2 linked regions of the Lepisosteus oculatus genome follow. Each later gene encodes a partner of the first gene's protein in a complex. Links are inferred from orthologs where the notes say so. Each region holds a gene or a part of one and is shown on either strand. Other genes may lie near its edges.

Region 1 (8,689 bases):
AGACATTTACTGAACAACTCTTTTCACTCTTTCTGTGAGTGATAATAAAATCTTTAGGATGACCATGTGGCCCAGAGGATAAATTAACTATTTTTTTTCTATTATTTAAGCCAAATTTATTAAGTTTGTACTTATTATTTTTACTGCTCTTTTGAAAGCTTAGGTTTTCCAACATGTTGGTAAACATTTTTCCTCTGCTTTTGATAGATTTTATTATTAGATGTGTCTTCCATTCAGAAGTGCCATTATTACAGAAATCAACACTATTTGAAATATTTGAGCACTATGAAAAAGATATTGCTCTGCTAAAGTACCACATCGGTTGAATAGACCCACACTTAGACACAGAATGCTTCATTTGACGAGTTCCCTGGGCAGCCATAAACCTCTGGTAATATTGCACATGATTCTGGGCTGTGATCCAGGGCTCTCCACCCATGCTGCCTGGAGAAACGGCAGAGTTTGCCATCTCAGCACATTTTTACCTTTAAGGAAATTTATCAATCCCTGAGAAGAGGTGGGAATAGCGGGAAGATGGAGTGCACTGTAGACTAAAACGGTAAACGCTGATGCAAATGCAGGGAATATTTTCCAAATCTTTCTCCGAAAATAATCACCCAGGTGCAATGTGACACTTGCAGTATTCTGTAGGTGAAGTCAAAGGACTGGATTTCAGTAACTCTCTAGGATTCCATTGCTGTTGTGTATTGTTAATGCATGTGCAATAATATTTGAGAAGGTCATGGCTAAGGAATTATTATAAAGAAATTAAGTGGCCTTAATTAAGAAATCACCTTTGCTAAAAAGTGATTTTCTTTTGGGGGAGGGGTAAAATTGGGGTAGAAAAAGCAGATTGGAAGGGACTAGCGGATGCAGTTAGAATATAGATGTTTGCTTGCTAATACTTCAGTAAAGTTACTGAAAAAAACCTACAGATTTAGGTTTCTTTAATATTATCAATATTTTGTTTTTATATTGTTTTTTTTTCATTTTTTTACTTGGTTCCATTTAAGCCATGGGTATCAAAGATGTATACTTATAAACAAGATATATTACAGCGATTCAAGTAGAGAGCTGCCTCAGCATGTGTAAGCTGCAAAGGAACAAGTAAAGGTTTATTCCATGCTGAAAAGAGAAGAAAAAAAACAATGTTTCGGCTGTGGAGCCTTCTTCAGTGAACTTTTTCCTTTGCATATTACAGTGATTACAATTATATATGATTGTATCTTGAAAACTACCCCTATCAGCCATAATGTGAATATTGTTATGTTTTACATGAATCCATTGATATTTCTGTAAAAACTAAAACTACACAAGAGAGCAAAACTACATTATAGGAATGTTTCTTTGTTTTTGTAGCATAAAGGTTAGATATTAATGTTTCTGATATCTTGAATTTTAATACACTTTGTTAAAAACAAAAACTCTTTTTTAAGAATTGTTGTTCTTGCATCATGGTACCCTAAATGTTAAAAACATATTCAGTTGGGAATATTTATCATTTATTGTAACATCCTTGCAAAACATTGCTGAGCACTACACCAGACAAAGAAGGATTGTTACTTGTAGATTGTATATAATATCATTATCATGCCTGACTGCACTCCAGCATGCTGAATATCTTTAATGGCTCTGAAAAGGGTAATTAACATAACTGAAAAGCTCCAGCACTTTTGTGGTACAGCCCTGTGCCCAACAGGAAAGCCACACATCCATTTAGCGATTTTGTATTTTGTTATTTTGTAGATCTTCAACCTATAAACAAGTTTTCTTTGCTTCTGGATGGGGGCAAGTCGTACCACACAGAGCATTTTTTAAGAATTTGCAATAAAGTGCAAAGACGAAACCACAATCACACTTCAGAGATAGAGGGTGTTTTACAAATCCAGTAAACTGAGGCACATGTAGGACAGGAAATGTTACCTTAATTGTTTTATAAAGAAAATAAACTGAAAACCAGCTTTATACTAAAGGTTTCTGCTGTTCCTGAGAACTCCCAAACGGGTTCTCAGTATCATGATTACTTCTGTGGTTGACGGACTGGGGCCGCGCTGTCTGTCGTTAAAAGAATCCTCTCAAACATGTTGACACACATGAGAGCGATTTTCCTCAACCAGCAGACTGCAAGTAGCCACCAGGATTTGAAGGGAATCTTTCCTGAGCAGATGGGCTGCACTCTGAAATGATACTGAGACGAGCAAATCAGCCCTTAAAAGTAGAGAGGACTCCGAGGAAAGAATGAATAACAGGAACCAAAACTTGTACTACAGCTCTGCCGAAGAACGAACTCAACTGTGAGTGCCAGGGCCTCTCGTGTGCATCGCCACGTCTGTGGTGCTCACTGCACAGTCCCATTAGAGACTGTCACTGTTGACACTCCCGAAACTCAGACCTGCCTTTTGCATATGTTGTGTGCTATTGCACAGAGGTTTCAGTTTGAAGAAAAAGGGTTATAAATAAAATTATATTATCATGAACTGTCCATTGTTCATGCTGCTACTGCTGCCTTTTCATTCTCTGAATTTATTGCTGATATTTTGTTAAAATTACAGCTTGGTTTTATAGTGTATGAGGTACAAGGGCATTTGAAAAAGATTATTCTGCAAAGGAAGCATTATACTGCGATTATTTTGATATTAATTAGGCAGCACACCTATTTGCACTTTCTTCTTTATGTTTGTTTCTTTAGTAAATAAAGACCATAGGATATAATCTGTATCTTGTTGACACGCAATAAAGACCATGATTGCTCTAAGATGTTGTATTTCATAAAAAAATTGTTTTTGTTTTTAAAGTGAATGACCCATTATAGTGTCAAAAACGAGTCTCAATTTTTTTTACCAGAGTGTATCTGAGATATGATTTTGTTAATACTGGGAATCATTTACAGAGCAAGAATTTTTCTTTGTTGGCTTAATACGTAGAGAAAGGATTATAATTTTTAAACACAGTACTTGGATGTTGACCTGAAAGTCATCTTGTCATTGATCTGTATCTCACTGTCTCCCACTGTAGGCATTTAAAATGAAAGACTTCAGCTTGCTTTCTTGTTAAATTGATAAAAGATAAAAATCTTTTCTCCCCAGTGTAATAATCTTGGCCTTTCTGACTGCAGATGTCAATATGCATCTTTTGTGACTGCTTTTCCTTGACGATTAAAAACAAACCTAGTATTCATAGCCATTTTCCCCACTTACATACTGTATGTAAATTACAGTTTTCTTGAACACACTGATCAATGTGTGGCTGTACATTCAAAGCTAAATCTGTTAAGTCAAATATACCTGCTGATAAAAACGTAAGGAGGTTGTGACATCAGGTAAATATACTCCAGATGTTTTAAAGATAACAACTGATGCTGATATCTGGAGGTCAATGACAACGCCACCTGTGTCAATCTGTTTTGATTATTGTGCAGTTCTGGGTCTTTAAAATCTCTCTTATGATCAATATGTGAGAGCTGATATTCATTGCTCTACAACTGTGGAAAAGCATCTGGAGTAACAGGTTTTTTAACTGAACTGGGCAGGGCAGTGAGCTATGACTTACTGTACTGTTACATTTCTAAAAACACCTGTTGCAAGTGATGTGAAAGTCTACGATTATTAGGATAGTGAAAATATATAATTATTAAAAATATACAAAGAGAATTGAATATATGCTCTGGGATGTTATATTGTATTGTATATGGAGGACAAATCTGGATTTAAGTTTGGGAGACACAAAGCCCAATATTCCAATGCACACTTGACCACTGGGAATTTCAATGACCTGCTAAGATTAAAATGTAATCTGAATGCCAAAAAGAAAGCATGGCTCACAGTTTCACCCTTTGATGAAAGGGGATTGAGCCAACACTTGAAATGTAGAGCTACCTGTGAACAGAGAATTGCCACGCAACAGATGAGTTTTGGAAGCTTTTTATGAATTTTGTGTGGCATAATCTAATTGCAAATGAGAAAAGATGCTGTTTGCGTGGAAATCATATTTATAAATTATGTTATGGTTTACTGTAGGATCTAGATGTGAGGCTGAAAAAAGAAGTATTAAGGAAAATGTGGCACTTCTTAAGGCTTCCTAGCTTATGACAATGCTGGTGTACATTTTAACGTGAGTGGGTCATATTCTATGTGTCATACAATGCTGTAGCACTTTTTTTGTGCTTGCCTAGGGCGTTTTGAAAAACTCTCTACACAGTACATTCACTGCTGCAAAAATCCAAGGTCAAAGTCTTTGTCATTGACTGAAAATGAGTGCTGAGAAAGAAATGACAACTTACGGAACACAAAACCTGTGTTTGACAGCTTTGTTTGCTGGAATTAGTGAAAATATTGATTGCTCAAGAAGGCACTGTCTTTACGGTAGAAAAGCTGCTTTGCACGCTGACAATAGTTCTGTGTGGGTTGCTGCTCTGTGAAGGTTGGTGCACAAGAAAAAAAGATACTCAATTAAATTGAATGTTTTGTGCTTGTTTTTTTCCCCCACAGGGTTTTGAATATTAAATTAAAATAAATATAAAACGATGGATCTGCACTAGATAATAGAGTAAAATTATATTTGGCATGGTACTGTGTTTAGTTTTATAAACCAATTGTATCAAATGGGTATCTTTTCATTATCTGTGTCATGCCTACATCACATGAATTCATAATCTATATTAGATAACTGTGACTTGTTGCATTGAACTTATGGATAGCTCACACCCCCCCCCCCCCCCACACACACACACACACACACATTCCTATATGATGCATCAATACATGAAGTTAAATTTCTGCTAAATTCAAGCATTTATGTATCTGTAACCATGGACCATAGAACACACAGCAATTGTGATGTTTGAGTGATGAACCAGACACATTACATGGCCTCCAAGGGGTGTTCATGGCAGCCCCATTCATTCTTTCTCCACAGTGTAAGGTCCTTGGTCCGTATGCATTTGATACTTTAATCCAGAGTGACCTTCTGTTCCTTAGCCTATACAGTAGCTTGCTGCCTTTTTTCTTTGCTGTTTGTTTAAAGAAATTACACTTAAAACTGATACGGTTTAATCAGACTCAATCGGAGAAATCAAACTTTAATTTAATCTCGTCTTTGAATAGCTGTCTTACTGCTGGTAATCATGGTCATGGTGAAAACCATGATATTCAGCCTGTAAAGGTTTGTGCTATGCGATTCCCCTGGTGTGCTATGCGCTAGTCAATTAACATATTTCTCACAGAGGTTTGCAAACTATGCATATGATGTGTATCATCTTCCATGACATTATCCCCTACATCCTCAAGGTGACTTGCAGTCATGCAGTCTGTTTGGCACACTATCAATTGAAATGACAGAGATAGGTGAGCCCAATTTATTGTTGGAGAGATGCACTGTGACACAACAGACCATGGATTTAATACAATGGTGTGAATATCAAAACTCAAGTTAATCCCATCCAGCACTTTTCCTTCACTGACCTGCAGTCAGGTCAGCATGTGACTGCTGTATTTTTTTTTTTTGCTGCCTTTCCTCAGCATTGTAGTTTTAAGCTGAGCAAGGGAGGCTGTGGCTTGAATGAGAGGGATGTTTCATCCTGACCGGCACACACGCAGACACCACACACACACACACAGATTGAGTGAGAGAGGGAGGGATACAGAGCAGCAGAGAAAGGGAGGCAAAGAGCTAGAACGGAACTCTGATGGAGGATTCACATTAATAAGAGTAATCTGGAGGATTCTGGCTGCACAGAAGCTTTAATCTGCGTATCTGGATTTACACTGCAATTCAACAATACTAGCCATATATACTAGACGAAGGGGAGCAAGAGGAAGATCAAGAGGAAATTCTAACAATTTATATTTTAAAAGAACAACAGGGACGCTGTTTAATTTCATTCACAGGGAGAGGAGTGTTAACAGCACAAAAAAGCAGTTTAACAGGAGCTCCACTTGCATTTACGTGCACATTCTAAGTGGCTGCCTAAACATAAGCAAGACCTCTTGCATCCTTTTCCGTATAGCAGACTAGTCTCCTCCTTGAACATTGGAACTAAGACTGAAGGCTGCTCTCAGCAACACAGCAAGCCTGACAATGGGCGATAAAGGTACAAGGTAAGGATTTCTTTGACATGGGTCGTATTTATTATTCATGTATTCTATTGGGCTTTAGTTCATATGTGGTTTTCTATGTATAGTAGCGTACATTCATATAACATATGCCAAATTAAATCCTTTGATGTCGTAATTGTGTTGTTCTTGATGCAGTCTTTTGTTTGTCAGCCTAAGGCAGTATAAGTTTTTGTCCCCCCTCTCCTTGCATGAACGTTGAATGATGTATCACTCTGCAAGCATGCAGTAAGACGTGTTAGTCTGCTCACACCCTCATTATGGGTCTGTGTGACTGTAAGTGCTCATGCTTGCTGGCTTGCTGCGTATTTTTATGGAACCTCATAAAGGACCATCAGTATTGGAATAATAAGCCTTGATAGAGCTCCGCCAGCAGGAGTGCACAACTAATCATGTATGTGCTAGATTTGCCAGGTTGTTATGGCACCACAATTAGCAGCTCATCAAGGGTCCGTCAGAAAACTGATACTTCACTATGTGTGTTCCTTTTAATGGATGCATTAAAAAGCTGATGCGGATACATAGGTATTTAAATTGGGTTTAACTATCTTTTCAAAGTTTGGACGCCAGTGAGCATACTCTTATCAGTGACCTATATGATAATGTTCACATATCTTCATGTCTTTTCACACTGTAGGTTAACAACCATTGTGATCTAGTGAGATATTCTAAAATTAGGAACTTTTTTCTCTGGTACACAGATTTTGGCAGACACCCATCAGAACTGTTTGACATTCCCTTTGATATACTGGTCTCTCTGGAATCTAGGAGATACATCCTTCTAATGGGATTTAAGATAGTTTGAGGGTCTGTACTGTAGATCAGCTACGACACCAATAGGCCTAGATTTCAAGGATCATAGCATCATGTAATGTTTGTATCATGATCTCCCATTAGTAAGGCAAGCTTTTCTTAACTAAATTCCTTTAGAACTTGAACAACTTAAGGAATTAAAAGCAAAACATTCGATTTCAATGAGAAATTGCTCTGACTAGTGACTCAAAGTGATTTACAACTTTCATTGGAGACTCAAAATATGATTTACTGTACATAATTTCTCCTCTTTCTGAAGGAAAAAGGCATGCAAAGGGCAATTTGCTTGAAGCAGAATGCGTTTGCAATTTGCTTCTTTCTGGTTGGTTGCCCATCACTTGTTTCAGTCCAAGTTCTTGTTCTTGTGAGCTCAAAAGTAACTTGGAATACCGCTGTAGTCAAACACTGCATCTCAGCAAATGTTCCAGCCTTTCACCATTGATACAGCCCAGTTTTCAACACTTGTTTAAAGTGCCAAGAAATAGGTGTCTCTGGATAAATGCTTTGTTTCTCTATTTTATTTATTCCTTATTTTTATTTTGTTCTTATTCGTGATGCTGTGTGTGGTTTCACTCACTCAATCACTTCACTTTTAACAAATTGGAGGTATTTTAAAAGCCTTTAATCTAAGACATTGTGAGACATTTTGCCTGGAAATGCATTGCTCAAAAACGCTGCTTCATACCTAATGAAGTGAAGCTCATGTTTAGCCATCTTGAGTCTATTCCTCTTCAAATTATTGTTCATTCTTTTTCAATCAAACCCCTGATTAAATTGATTTTGTGTTTACAATGATGGCAAGGTTTGCAAAACTAAAGACATAATTTACAGACTGATCATATTTTGCCAAAAGCTCATTTAAATTACATGACACTATTCAGAAATTCTTGTCATAGAAGCAGATGCACAACAATTCTGGGAAAACCATTATGAACAATGTGTTCCAATAGCTACTATATTTTCACTGTTTGAGGGTTTTGATTAAGTTACATGACAAAAGTAAATGTTTCTTATTGCAGATGTTGTACAGCAAACATAACAGTTTTAACTTGTACTTATAGAATGTTATCTGTATTTTGCAAGAGTGATGATACACTTAAAGAGTCAAAAGATTTTGACTGCGGCCTTTTTTTGTATATTCCTGGTTGTTATATTCCTGTTTGCTCCATATGGACAGTGCTGTATACTGTACTGTACCTATATATAAAAAGAACTAAAAAGCAATACTTGCCCTTATCAAAATCTGATATTAGTATCAAGACAGATTCAACATACAGATGGGGCAAAGAAATGCAGAGAACTGAGAAATTGTCCCAACCTGAAGGAGTATTTGCACCAACGGCATTAGCAGTGTTTAGGCAGCAAGAAAGCCCTTTATTCACCATCTTCAGAAACAGGAAAGGAGTCAAAGTGGAGCAGCAAGCTTACCTAGGCTGACCCATATGTGAGGCAGAAGAAACACCTGTTTCCCTATATGTCTGATCCTTAGCTAGGCCTTTTTCCTCAAGAAAGAAATTAGGCAACAAGAAAGAAATTAAAACAGAAGAAAGGCTACAAACAACAGGAAACTCTTAGCTCATTTGGTTGCTGATTGCTCAAGATCCTATAGTATCAGATTCAACAACATAGATGAGCAAAGGAAAATAAAAATGATAACAAAAAAGGTCAGGAAGGTGTTTACCACTTGAAACTGAGATCTACAGAGAGATTAGGCACCTTAGCTCACTGTTCAATGCCATCCTGAGAATGGAGGCACATTAATCAGT
Region 2 (8,584 bases), on another chromosome or scaffold:
CTATGTAATCTGCTCGCATTACCTTCTACTGACTTTTGCTTGAAGCACTCTACACAGCCCTTCTTGCAAACTTGGTAATTACTGTATATTTTTCCCCAGATAACTGCTTTATTATGGTTCTACCAAGGCCACCTAAACAAGCTACACTTCTTAATTCATGTCCTGAGTGCATGTCTTCTGGCTTGCAGAATTCTTGCAAATGACTGTTTATTGTCTCTGTAGATTTCTATGGCTTTATAGTTGATTCCCTGGCTCTAGAAAGCAGAACACAGTGATACAGGATTAAACAAGCTGAGAAATGAGCACCCAGGAGGGTAGGAATTATTAGTCAATCTGAGACTGCGCTCTCTGCGTAGATGTGTTAAATGGCATTTCTGGAGACCAATGTGCCTCCAAGTGTCAGAAGGGAAAGCTGCGAGGAGGATGTTTGTCAGTCATTTTCAGTGTTGCTCTGATCCCTGGATTTTCCAAACTAATCTCTACTGAAAAGGGAAAAGTAGTGATTAGGCACATGTCTGTTGCCATGTTCTAGAGATTAATTAACCAGTACAAAGTACAAGGCACAAAAAGAGATTTTTGACTGTATGTCAAAAAGACTTGGACCATGGAATATAATAGTAACAATCCCACAATGCTGCATTCTTTGAATTGTTCTTTTATACAGTAAGCGCTTGGTAAGTCAAATTAAATAAATCAAGCTCTCCTTTCTCTCCCATTACATTGATTGTTCTGTGGCATTAAATGTCTGCAAACCTGTAAAAAGCTTAGCGTTTGGTGAGTGAATTCCAGTTACTCTTGCTGTCATAATCTGAACACCCTCAGCAGTAGAGGTGCACAGAACTGAAACGACAAACAACACGAAATATTGAATAAACTGAAAAGATGTCAATACAGCTCAAGTTTTGTTTAGCAGCACACATTGCTGCCTTTGATTCATGACACCTGCTGAAATCTCAAAATGACTAAATGAGGCAGCTGATCATAAGTAACTCCACCCAGACCTTTGTGGCAAACCTGGTGCTGTAGCTTTCAACGTGCTCATGCTGAGCACCCTCTGCTGTGTGCACACCACACAGCGGGGGTCGTGGGGCCGGACTGAACTCGGATCAAAACAATTCTCATTCGGCAGGCTTTGACCCTCAGGGCAAACGGGTCACCACGAGGAACACACTCCCCCGGGGCTGTGGAGGACTGCGCCCAGCCTCATGCTGCTGAGTGAGTGAAGCCGGGGCTGGCCAGCGCAGCATCCTCAGGAGGGCGCTGTGACCGTGCGGCGTTCCTCGGGGTCACACTGGTGAACCCGACCAAATTCTTCAGTGCCAGGGCGCGTGGTTTTCTCGATAGGGCTGCTGGAATAGCGTCAACCAGCTCCTTCATCATTCGTAGCAGCGGCCTCACCACCCAAGCAGCCGGCCATGAGGGGTCCAGACATGGACCCAGACACTGTCGCCTCGAACCTGGGTCACAACAGACAGAGCCGGTTTACCCGGCCAGTACAGATTCCAAAATGATGGAGGGGCCAGGGAGGGAGAATTCTAAAGTAGAGAATCATTGAGGCATTTAATGTCAAATAAATGGATGTAAATTGCTCGCCCTCTGATATGTCTTCTGACTCATCTGGCTGTGCCTGGAGTACCGTAATTACTGTAGCCACCGGGGCTGGGAAGGCCGGGGGACAGGCCTGACAGATTAACGAAGCAGTGAAACCCTTTGACGTACGGAGTATAAATGGTATCAAACACGGGTGAAGCGATGACTCATTCGTTTTTTTCCCCATCCTTGACTGGACGCTGGAACACTGCTGCTTTCAACTCACTGACAGCCTACTGTGGGCGGTTAGACAATAAAAAATAAATATTATAACCCCCACCCCCCCCCCAAGGTCTTTTTTGTTCCTGTTCTGCTGTATTTCACACTTTGGTTTGTCCTATTCCCATGAGCATCCCGAAAGCTAACCTAGAATTCCTAACCAGCTCCGGAATACCGGAATATAGTACGGCCTCGTTGTGAGAGAGAAAGCCAGGAGCCGATGGACCACTGCAAGCCGAGAACTCAGGTGTCAAGACACCTTTTCCTTTTCAGTTCTAAGAAAACTGGTTCAGCTCAATCTAATACCCCCGTTGATTCAGTTCGAGAGCGGTACTCACTTGACTTGCTGTGGTTGGGCTGCAGACACCAGAGAGCTTGTGTTTGAGGCGTGTTAACAAGTTCATTTCACAGCCGTCGGAGTGATGGGCATTTTAGGTACACCACTTGAAGTGTGACTTTTTTTTCTGGTACTGGATTCCAGTGCTTATTTCCGATCACATGGTTTCCATTAATTCCTTTTGGGAGGAGATTCAGTTAATTACAACCACAAAACTGGTCTGATCACCAACCACGATGACCAAAGTTAGTTGCTCCTGTATTCAGGTCTCAACGGGACAGATGTGGTTGTCATTAGGTGACACTGGTGACTCATCCCAGTTTGACTCGCATTTCATTCCGCTAATGATCAAATTTAACCCCTGGCACGCATGTTGTTTTATTGTTGCACTTCTACCACTGTCTGAACATGAGATCTTCCAACACATAATGTCAGCACAATATTATACGTATGGTATCCCAATGGTGCAGTTTCAGTGACAATTCCAATGGCTTGCAGAAGTCATTGAAGATCCATACCGCATTGAATTCTGTCTCATAATTTACAAACAACAAAAAAAGGACTAAATATGACGTAACAGGAGAAAATGATACATGAAGAAAACACACCTGAAGCCATATGCCCAGTTCAGTAAAGGAAGAATCACTTATTTATCAATGTTTATAGGCAGATGCAGCTCACCTGTGCCACCAGACCACTCCTGCAACCCGTCACCTCAAAATGACGAATGTGTCCGTGTTCAGTTTCTCAGAATACACTTCTCAGCGAGCTAACTCACGGCGAGTTTTACACCGGGTCCTGTTCTGGCTGCAAGCTAGTGGCAGGTTAGGGCCCCTGGACCCCGACTGGAAAGCTGTGGGCTCGAATCCTGGGTGGGCTCCAGCTGTTGCATCCTGGGAGAAGGACGTCTCTCCAGCTTCCCCAGCCGAAGGCTTGACTGTATCGGTGGGTTAGCTAGAGCAATGGCCATCACAATGTACTTACTAAATTACTACTAATTCTAGTAAATAAATTCCTTAAAATGAAGCCACTTAGGTGTCTTAAATGATTAGTACTGTATTAAATCCCCTTGCTTAGTGTCCTAACATATCCCAGCTGACCCTGTGCTAATTTTGTGTCTGTGACTAAATACACTGGGTAAAGAAAGATACTGCCTTTTAGATTGGGCATTTCCCAATATCATAAATCATTGATTTTGCAATAAATATACTTACCAAAACAATTGTGGGAAAGTAGTGGACAAGATGGGAGAGACCAAAGCACTGATGTAATTTGTGGGAAACACACTGACAAAGTGTCAAATCCTTCATCTACCCTTCCTGTTTCAGGGGAATGTTTATTGAATCGGAACATTTTCCATTCGTTTCTTTTTAGGCTCTATTTAAAAAAAAACAGGGCTCATGTTAAATACACCACCAGGCAACTCCCAGCTGTGGGTGGCCCTGTGCTAGAAACTTTCTTTGCAAACCACCAGGATGGGGGAAGGAACGGGAACAGAGATCAGATCATGACAGAAGAGCCATTTGCTCATGCTACTGAAACTCGAGCACTAGAGCCGGTGAGTGCTCACACGCGCATTCAAACCCCACGTTCGGGGATGAAAGCCGTTCCCATCTTCACACATCAAGAGCATTTACATCAGCCTAGACGTCCTCAGGCATGCTGGAGCACTTATTCCAGCTTGGCAGGACCTGCTGGACTGGAAGATGCTCTCAACTCGTTGTCCCTCCTGTGGGGGGTGCCGAGAACTCACTTCTACCGCCTCCTTCTCGGCGCGCAAAGGAGAGAAATTCTGCGCGCCGCGTCCGAGATGGACAGGCAGGGTTTTCTGAAGAACAGCTGGTTGTGACCACGAGTGTGTCCTTTTCAATTCGGTATTGAAAGACAATCCCGGGAGAGCCAGGGTATTGAAAACAGGCGAATGGCTGTTTGTGTGTGTGTGTCAAGGATGAGTTTTATAATTCACGCACGCTGTTCTCTAGAAAGTGGGGCAGGACAGGTATTACAGTTGCTATGGCTAATTAGCAAGCAGTGAGGACGCTCAGCCTGAGCACGGCAGCATTCTTCCACATACCCTCAAACGGTTAAACCACATCAATCCTAAAGAGTGCTCTTCGGCTTTTAAACCGCAGAGAACAAGGTTTCGACTCTTAACTATGGGTGCTGCAAAAGGAGGTTGTGTAGAAATGATCACATTGTCATTTTTCTCCCCGGGTATGGGCGTTAAAGAAAAAAAGCGTACAAGGCCGGAATGTGAAATTTTGTAACAGTGGTTTTACTTTCAATTCAGACTTGAACACTCAAATAGTAGAGATGCTTATTTGCTGTATCGGTTAAGCCCAGATGTCCGGGGTATTGCTGGTTTGAGTCTGGACAGTCAGCCAGCAGTGAGAGGGATTTTTCAGAAAAATTTATTCGAATTCCGCTTGCAGGGTTATCGTCGATTTAGGGCAAACGGGCACGTCTGTGACTCGCCTGGCACCTCTCATTCTGGGTGCGAATCGGCGCTCACTGTCTCGTAGACCCTGTAAGACTCACAAAGTCAAAAGAAGGACGATAGACGCCGAAAAAAAGGCACACCTCCCGAGGAACAAAACTGAGCTCTGCGGGTGATGTTTTAAAGTATCCTTGTTGTTACAAAAACACAAATGTTATTATCCTTTTGTTACTTGGGAAAACGTGAGTTTAAATACAAATATGAACAAGAAAGCTAAGATGCCGTTGATAAGACAGATCTGAGGCAGACGCAACACTGTGTCGCCAAGTAGTAATATTGTCCTCTGTTCGCATTCGTTTCTCCAAGTACGCATTACTAATTATAGCTTTCAGGTTGAAAAAAAAAACTCATCGTTGTTCACCAGAAAGACAGGGTTTCATCTTTAGATCAGCATCGATGCAACAAATGGACAGTAAATAACAGTATGTACCTAAAGTATAAGAAACCGCCCTGCATATAGAATCGTTGTCGTTTAACATTTAATTTTTAAAGGTGTTTGCGATTCTTTGGGGGGGGGGAGGGGGGTGTATCTGAGGAAACCTGGTTATATAAAACAGGGAAACGATCAGACTTCATGAATGAAGTGGTTTGCGTCAGTGCCCGAGGTCTGAGCAGAGAGGCAGCGCGCCTCCTCCTCCGCCAGATAAAAAGCCAACTTCTGGGGGAGCGGCGCTCTGGGCTGCGCTGAACACCGCCGAGCGCTCCCTGCCTCTCTCCGCGCCGTCCGCCCCGCGTTCCCCGGGAAAAAAAGGGAGGAGGAGGAGGAGGAGAAGCAGAAGAAGAAAAAGAAGTTGCCCGGCCACACAATGGACGAGACCTCCACGCTGCTGGGCCGAAACTTCTCCCGGGACTTCCAGATGCTCAGCCAGTACCTGCTGGCGGCGGCCGGGAACGCCTCGCGCCCGGCGAACGCGACGCCCGGGGAGCACGAGGAGGACAGCCTGGACGTCAGCACGGACATCTACTCCAAGGCTCTGGTCACCGCCATTTACATCGCCCTGTTCGTCGTCGGCTCCCTGGGCAACTCCATCACGCTGTACACCCTGGTCAGGAGGAAGACCTTGCAGAACCTCCAGAGCACGGTGCATTACCACCTGGCCAGCCTGGCGGTGTCCGACATCCTCATCCTGCTCCTCTGCATGCCCATAGAGCTGTACAACTTCATCTGGGTCCACTACCCGTGGGCTTTTGGGGGAGCCGTTTGCAAAGGGTATTACTTCTTGAGAGACGGCTGCTCCTACGCCACGGCGCTCAACATCGCCAGCCTCAGCGTGGAGAGGTACATGGCCATCTGCCACCCCTTCAAGGCCAAAAGCATCATGTCCAGGAGCAGAACAAAAAAGCTGATCAGCGCTATCTGGGTGGCGTCGTTTCTCCTGGCGACCCCCATGCTGTTCACCATGGGCCAGACTTACACCAACAACGTTCAAATCTGCACCACCATAGTCTCCACGCACACGGCCAAGATCGTCCTGCAGGTGAGTGAAAGGGACTTCGCGACAAGACAAGAAACCCCCCAAAACAAAAAAGCGCTTTTCTCGCACCCGAGCCACCAGCTCAGCTCCGGGCGAATCGAGTGGAGAAACACGGTGGCGCGTAAAAACAGTCGGTCGACTGTCCTAAACCTGTTCTGTAACATTCATAACACAGTTACGTAGTATTTGGGTAGTGTTATTAAACTCTAACAACGATAATAAGTCATAAGTAGAGTCGGTAAGACATTTTTTAAACATTATCCCGCGCCAAGGACTACCTGTTGCTTGTTTAACTTTTACCACATCTTTAAAAAAATAAAACGATCGTCAGAAAACGCCGGCATGTACCGTTAACGTTGCGGGCAGCAGGAACGGCCCCAGCGGAACCGCACGACTCCCGGGCCCAGCCGCTGAGGCAGTGCGGCCGGCACTGCGCCACTTCCACACGGCCCGGACTCGACAGACTTGGAGAGAGCTCCGTCGCTCTGTTCAGTACGGGTGTCCTTTAAACAACCCGGTAAGAGTAAAAAAAAAAAAGTCCAGATTTATAGAAAAGACATGAAGCAGATCTGGACTGTCTGAATCCAACAGAAACACACAGATACCTCAGTACTTGACACTTATTCTCCCCACCAAGACACGCTCTACGTGACGTTTACTGTTTAAAACGAAACGGAAGAATGTGCTCAATGGGTATAATTAATGTCATTACAGTCGAGAGTGCTTCAATTACACCTGCCTGCGCCGCGGTTTCTGGTGGTACAGTACATGTCGTGTATCGCGCTGTGTGATGGAGGAAACTGGTAAAAAAATAAAATAATCATTCTTCTTTAATACATAGAACAAGTCGTGTGGTCTTGTAATATATGGAAAAAATAGATTGGCTTACTTAAGAAATATTTATGCACCGTTGTTAGTTTTAGGTTTGGTTTTCTGTTTTCTAAAACGACCCTTAGAAGTCACCTAAAATTTGAAAGATAAAAATGTCCAGTCGTTATTTTTAAATATGTTCACTTCTCGTCGTACAGGAGATTTTCCCCATTCTAACAGGAATAATATTTACCCTTGACAGATCACACCTTCTGTATAAATTATCGCAAAATGTTGGTCCCGAAAATGAAAAAAACAACAAAAAAACAACACAATTAATGCTACTGTAAGTGCGTCGAAACTGTGCTGTTAGAAGACACAGCCATCCAGCCCTGCGCAGCACAGAGCGCACTTCAGGAATGTTCTCCGGCTGGGTCACGTCGTGGACATTAGAACTACCGATTATGCGTTACAATTGCCCAGAAAGCAATAGCCACAACAATAAAACATAATATATTACAATAGATTTTACCCTGTGCAATAAGCAATATTCACAAATGCGTTCTTGCTCACAAAGTCATCCCATCACAGTGCGTGGTATGGGATACATTGCACTTTGCACACACGGGCTGGGAGCATTTCAATTACATCCACGATGTCAGAGTGTTCTGATGAGATTGTTTTGACAGATATACACCTTAACCCTGACGTGGCAGTAGGAGCTTGGCTCTGCTGTGCGGCCACCAGAGATTCAGAGTTTGGACCGCCTGAAGTCTGCAATACAGTGGAGGCTGAGCTCGAAGCAGCATTCTTCCCCATTTTAAAACCCACACTCTGTGTGCAGGAGAGGGAAAGCAGACAGCCCGCTTGGCTCGGCTGTATTTTTCATGGGGAATGTTGGAATTGTGTTCCTGCGCAGGGAGAGATCTCCAAAGGAAAAGATGAGGTTGTCTAGGTGACAAGATCTGCGTTTCTGTTGAGCCGATGCAGGCAGGCAGCGAAATACTGTACCTTTGAAATGTTTCCAATTTCACAAGTGCTTCACTGCTGTGTTTTAATGCTCAGCGTGTAAGAAATGTAAAAGCAGAACAGCAGTGTAGAGGGTAAAATCAACTCACAGAAGAGTTTTAGAAGCCCTGTAACACAGGCATTGCAGCACCCAGGGGGTAGACTGCCAAATCGCTTTCAAAAACCTCTTATCCAGTACAGGGTCGCGGAAAAGCCAGAGCCTATCACAGGAAGCAACGGGCACAGGGCAGGGTACACCCTGGGTTGCACGCCAGTCTATCCCACGGCACACACACTCACACCAGGGCCAGTTTTCCCAGAAGCCAATTAAACTACCCAGCAACAAAGCCGGAGCACCCATAGGAGACCCATGCAAACACGGGGATAACATACAGACCCAACGCAGACAGCACCCCAGCGCTGTGCCACTGCGCCACGAGCTCGAATCCTTTTCTACAGACAACCTTCTCAAAAAATGTCAAGATTTAGCGTTTTTTTTGGGGTGTAACTGGAATATGCTTCATTTCAAACGACTTTCCGAAACTAGCCAGTCACTGTACCTGCAGTCATGGGAGGGTGAGACTTTTACAGTACAGTAGCCACTGCGGATCTGACAAGGTCGAAGCTGGAGCCTGGACTTCTGGTGCT

The links.
Region 2: the proteins of beta-arrestin-1 (region 1) and ntsr1 are in contact, whole or in part, in a cryo-EM structure (PDB 6UP7), measured with the Homo sapiens proteins. The link is inferred for Lepisosteus oculatus from reciprocal best matches to the Homo sapiens genes ARRB1 and NTSR1. Residues at the interface, in NP_004032.2 of Homo sapiens: Tyr63, Arg65, Asp67, Leu68, Val70, Leu71, Gly72, Leu73, Thr74, Phe75, Arg76, Lys77, Asn245, Thr246, Ala247, Gln248, Tyr249, Lys250, Lys284, Arg285, Gly286; in NP_002522.2 of Homo sapiens: Ser93, Leu94, Gln95, Ser96, Leu97, Gln98, Thr100, Val101, Arg166, Ile170, Pro173, Lys177, Phe286, Ser287, Met288, Ala289, Ile290, Ala297, Leu298, Gly301, Ser368, Asn370.

What each region holds. Positions count from the first base shown.
Region 1 is NC_090700.1:2,564,557-2,573,245, reverse strand, and holds the start of beta-arrestin-1, read left to right. Parts: upstream 1-5,542; 5' UTR 5,543-6,075; coding exon 6,076-6,095; intron 6,096-8,689. UniProt on the Homo sapiens protein: Functions in regulating agonist-mediated G-protein coupled receptor (GPCR) signaling by mediating both receptor desensitization and resensitization processes.
Region 2 is NC_090711.1:3,524,472-3,533,055, reverse strand, and holds the start of ntsr1 (neurotensin receptor type 1), read left to right. Parts: upstream 1-5,183; 5' UTR 5,184-5,449; coding exon 5,450-6,121; intron 6,122-8,584. UniProt on the Homo sapiens protein: G-protein coupled receptor for the tridecapeptide neurotensin (NTS). Signaling is effected via G proteins that activate a phosphatidylinositol-calcium second messenger system.